2 linked regions of the Kluyveromyces lactis genome follow. The protein of the gene in region 2 binds, or shares a complex with, the protein of the main gene of each other region. Links are inferred from orthologs where the notes say so. Each region holds a gene or a part of one and is shown on either strand. Other genes may lie near its edges.

What was found.
Region 1: IMP2 (region 2) and SOM1 share a complex: the UniProt entries of both Saccharomyces cerevisiae proteins name them as parts of the mitochondrial inner membrane peptidase (IMP) complex. The link is inferred for Kluyveromyces lactis from reciprocal best matches to the Saccharomyces cerevisiae genes IMP2 and SOM1.

The regions. Positions count from the first base shown.
Region 1 is NC_006040.1:80,648-82,970, reverse strand, and holds SOM1 (Som1p), read right to left. Parts: upstream 761-2,323; coding exon 545-760; downstream 1-544. Other genes in the region: phosphoacetylglucosamine mutase PCM1, read left to right, coding at 1,019-2,323. UniProt on the Saccharomyces cerevisiae protein: Non-catalytic component of the mitochondrial inner membrane peptidase (IMP) complex. IMP catalyzes the removal of signal peptides required for the targeting of proteins from the mitochondrial matrix, across the inner membrane, into the inter-membrane space.
Region 2 is NC_006042.1:2,492,570-2,495,384, forward strand, and holds IMP2 (endopeptidase catalytic subunit), read right to left. Parts: upstream 1,226-2,815; coding exon 689-1,225; downstream 1-688. Other genes in the region: putative tyrosine protein phosphatase MIH1, read left to right, coding at 1-555; RCH1 (Rch1p), read left to right, coding at 2,536-2,815. UniProt on the Saccharomyces cerevisiae protein: Catalytic component of the mitochondrial inner membrane peptidase (IMP) complex. IMP catalyzes the removal of signal peptides required for the targeting of proteins from the mitochondrial matrix, across the inner membrane, into the inter-membrane space.

The sequences.
Region 1 (2,323 bases), on a different chromosome or scaffold from region 2:
AACTATTTAGACGCTAAGATGGTCCGATTTTTTACCTGAAAACCGTCGATGTCGACAGAATGTAATTGAAGCGATATGGCTTGTATTTAACTATGTACATCTGCCATATACCTTTACAAACCCCTCATGATTAGCCGTTAACCGAAATGTATGTATCTTTCCAACCTCTACTTCTGCACACTGGGACATCCCATAAGTCCAGTCACGTGAATGAAGAAAATGAATATACCACTAGTTATTCCTTGTAGAACGCAGATCAGTAAGCTTTCATCACCAATATGAGGATGACTGTATCTCCGCGCAGAACGATGTTGGTCAATTCCTACTTGTGGCAGACTTTAACCGCACATGACATCTGTAATTGTCCGTTAAACATATTCAAATACTGCATGGTCAGCTCAATAAATATCTACTGATCTTTAGATGAAGACTAGGGTTGCGCTTCTTCCTGACATTATAGTTACACCTTGTACTACGGCACTAGTAACTCATTGTATTCCAGTTTTATTATGATCCTTCTCCGTAAACATCTTGTTGCGAAGTCTCATCTGTTGGTGTTCAGATTTGTTACCTCAATGTTTAATACACGTCCATCCTTCACCATGCATTGTTCAAATAGTCTTTTGAAAGGCGTACACACATAGTCATTACCATTAAAAGCACATTCATTCTGTACCAGAGACTTTAAACTGCAATTTTCACCACGTTGAAGCATTCTCTGCTGAGTGTCAAGACCGAGTATTTTCGTAGGTGGAGCCATCACACTGTAAAACACACCTTTATTTGATGTAACGTTAACTGGTTGGCAATCAGTTCTGTGAACCAAATCAGCCACTGTATAAACGTTTTTGGTTCTCTTTCTCACCTTATTTCTCTTGTTTGTCTTTCATTTTGAACATTGAGTTCCATATTTTATGTATAAATTCTTCAACTGAAATATATTCTAAGTATTAAATGTATATTTGGCTAATTGGTAGGCGTCAAGAGAGCAAAGAGTACAAGAAAGTAACCCTCACCAATGTCTTTCCGTGACCTATACGAGCAGTACTGCAAACAAGGCCATGCTTATACCTATGGAACTGCTGGTTTCAGAGCACACAATTCCGTGCTAGATACTGTTATGTTCACTACAGGTATCGTTGCCGTTTTAAGATCTATCTACCTTAAATCAAAATTCGTCGGTGTGATGATAACTGCCTCGCATAATCCACCTGAGGATAATGGAGTGAAGGTTGTGGAACCATATGGCGAAATGTTGGTTCAAAATTGGGAACCAATTGCTACAAAATTGGCCAATGCTGCTTCATCCAGTTTCACACAATTGGAGTCTACTTTGCAATCGATTATAGCAGAATTAAACATTGACACCACTCAATTAGCTAATATTACAGTGGCACGTGACTCTCGAGAATCGGGTCCTCGTTTACTAGCTGCTTTGAAGGCAGGTATATCTGTCTTCCCTGCAGTTAAAATCATCGATTTCGAATTATTGACTACACCTCAATTGCATTTCCTAGTATACAGTTTGAACACCTCGTCTCAACCATCACAAGTAAGAGATTCTACTTATTATGATCATTTCGTCTCTATCTGGAACCAGTTGACGCAATTGTACGAGGTCACTGAATTGCCATTCCATTTAACGATAGATTGCGCCAACGGCATTGGGGCAGATAAAGTGAAACAACTCATTTCTCAGGCTGGTCATATGCTAGAAAACTCCTTAACGGCTGTCAATGGTGAGACAAAGACCTTTCAACTTTTGAATGAGTCCTGTGGTGCTGATTTTGTTAAAACCAATCAGACATTCCCCGCGAATTGTAATCCGAAACCATCTCAACTGTACTGTTCCTTTGATGGTGATGCTGACCGTGTTGTCTTCTATTACGTTGATGGTAAAGAAAATAAATTCCATTTATTGGATGGTGACAAGATTGCTACTTTATTGGCAAAACTAATCGCAGATTTGCTTCGTGATTGTGGGTTGTCTGATACTTTAAAATTGGGAGTCGTTCAAACGGCATATGCGAATGGTTCTTCTACTAAATATATCACTGACAAATTGAAAATTCCTGTTTCGTGCACCAAGACAGGAGTCAAACATCTACATCACGAGGCAGTTTCCCGTTATGACATTGGTATCTATTTCGAAGCCAATGGACACGGTACTGTCATTTTCTCTAGAGAATTCTTAGAAACCGTGGACTCCAGATTACAGGAAACCTCCGGAAATGAACAACAATACAAATCACTATTATCCTTAAAGCTACTAAGTCAATTGATCAATCAAACCGTTGGCGACGCAATATCTGATATGCTAGCA
Region 2 (2,815 bases):
AAATGCGAGGGTCATTATGTCTGCATGGATTCAAAAAATCATGAATTAGAATTGAGTGAGTTTAAAAGAGATAGTAAGAAGCTAATGACTCGAGCAAACTCAACTCAAATATTCCAGTTGAAAGACAAAATTGGAACCTGTCCTGTAAGTTTGAGCGATGTAAACAACGATTATAATATCCCACTCCCCAACAAAGTTACTACAGAAGAACATCAACTGACCAATGAACAAAACATCGACTATGATGAAGAGGCATCATATTTCAATTTCAGCATAAACGTGCCGCCCAAATTGTGCCTAGACAGATATGGCGAAGGTTCTCCCAACAATGGATTAAATTCATCAAAGAGTAGCAGCCTAAGTACAAGTAGCAGGCTATTATTCTCAGATGAAATAGGGACTGAGTTTAAACCAAAATTTCTGGAGCACGAAGAGTCTGATTTAGATTCAGATGGATATAGTTTCCAGTTTGGTGATGACGATACTGACGATAGAATGAGTAACATCACTGGGAAGAAACGATTATTCCCGGAATTAGTCAATGCGAATAAATAAACAAGGTACAACGATAAAATAAGAATTGAATTGAAATCCATAATCTCATCATTTCATTATGTGCATGCTTAATATGGTATATATACATAAATAACAACAAATTCTTTCTCTCTTCAGGTATTCGGTCTTTACGTCACGAATGTTCCATCGTAGGGAAAACTTTAATGTCACCTCTTCCTTCGCTCATGTTCAGATCTGCGCTCCATCTCGAAGGGGGCCATACTATTTTGACTGCTTTACCTAATGCTAAGCCAGTACTGATGGGGCCGAAATTGTTAGAGTCAACTGAATGGTATACATTATCACCTTCGACCCATAGATGATTTCTGGGAATCAGACAGGTATCCTTAGGATAAGGTGATCTAGTTTTCACCTGATCAAACTGTACGCCTTTAACACGTTTACAGTATACTTTCTTTGGATTCGAAGGGGATTTGAATAGTACTACATCATTTTCTTTCCAATTCTTGGCTTGTTTGAGATTAAACTTCCAAAGAAGAACCCAATCGGATTCATTATTGAACGAATCAGTTGGATTAAGCGTAGGTCGCATCGAGGAGCCTTCAATCTTAGCTACATAGCATACATGTTCTGTGAAGGTGAGTATAACTGGAATCCACGAAACTGTAATAACCGCAGATCGCAGTGCATAGCTTCCATAATTGACCATTTTACCAATGAGTTATTACAGGGACGTACAACGATGAAGTCGCAATGCGATAAATTCTTAATGCAGCCGGTTGGGGTAGGGAATTCTTCAGTTTACCTCATTTTTTGTCTTAGGATGCATATCTTACAGATCCATCAAATATTGACGTCTAATTATCTGTTGATTCTCGTATTCATACTGAAATATCCCAGTAATGCTTGAGAAAATTCACCGGAAATATAAATCACGTGACATGATAGGACAGTCCTTTTTCGCTGATGAGAGAGAAAAATAGAGCAGTGGATCAATGCATATAAATCACCGGTTGAATGGACAAACGAAGACAGCATTTGGCGTAATATTTATCGGATTAATCTTGCACTGTGAATAGAGCGATTTTCAGATTGCCAAGGCACCGTAATAGGAACCACAGTAATGGATTAATAGCATCCTCTTTTTTTTTTGATTTCGTTACAGGCCGAATGTTAGCACACTAACCTCACCTGGCTTCCAGTTGCAGTTCTCAATTTCAAGATAAAACCCCACGCTACGGTTCAATGTCTTGACAGCTTCCAATCTTGTTATTGTTTCCGACAAACCAAACCTAATGCAGCAAACGGTATCCTAGATTGTCGTTGATTTCTCGTCCACAGTCCTTCAACTGGTTGAAAAGTTGCGGTTTAGAGGAGGATGCCTGTACTATGTAGTGTATGGGTGAAATGACGAAAAATTGAAATTAATGGAAGCCCAGTCACGTGAGTCCCGGAGACATTAGGTGTTTAAATGCGCAGAGTTGTAGGTAAGGCTCTCCTATCAGCGCGAAATGAACGATATAAGGATGTTTGTTACAATACTTTGAGAAGTTATATCTCGTTTGGTCATCAAAAACCGTAGCTGTGACGCCGGTTGTATCTCTTTGTGGATGAGTCCGAGATGCTCTAATCGGTTGTCATTATGTCCTGGAAAAACGGCTGAAAAAAAAAAACCAGAAAACTAGAAGGATAAGAAAAGTCATTATTTGACTAGGATTTATTATTTTACATCTATATATATATATATATATATATATATATATATATATGCACTGCAGAATAAGGACAATGAACAGAACGAACGATCTTGGCTTACGGCAGCTTTTAGATTGTAAATGTTAGTTAGTGGCACAGACAACTATCGTTTAAGGTTATACATTAGCTTATAATATATGTTTTCAAGATCCCAAGATAAATTTTGCTAACATATCAGTATTAAGCTCGGACTTTCAACATTGTTTACTGAACTGAAACAAAGCAGACAACACCAGAGTTTTGGCATTTATTTCAGAAATAGCTATGACAGAAAGTGATAACATAGCGGATAGAGTTTCATCTGATAGTTCGCTGTCGGTTGAAAGTGAACAAAGAAAGAACACATCGCCGTTCAAACACCGACTCTCCGTCATTTATAACCATAAAATCACACAGTATATCATATCACAATGGTTTTTCATTGGGTTAGCCATATTTATTGTACTTGCGCGGTTCTTCCCTAATTTTGCTAGGAGTGGTGGTCTTATTAGAGGTCAATATTCTATCGGTTACGGTGCAGTCATCGTCATTTTCTTACAAAGTG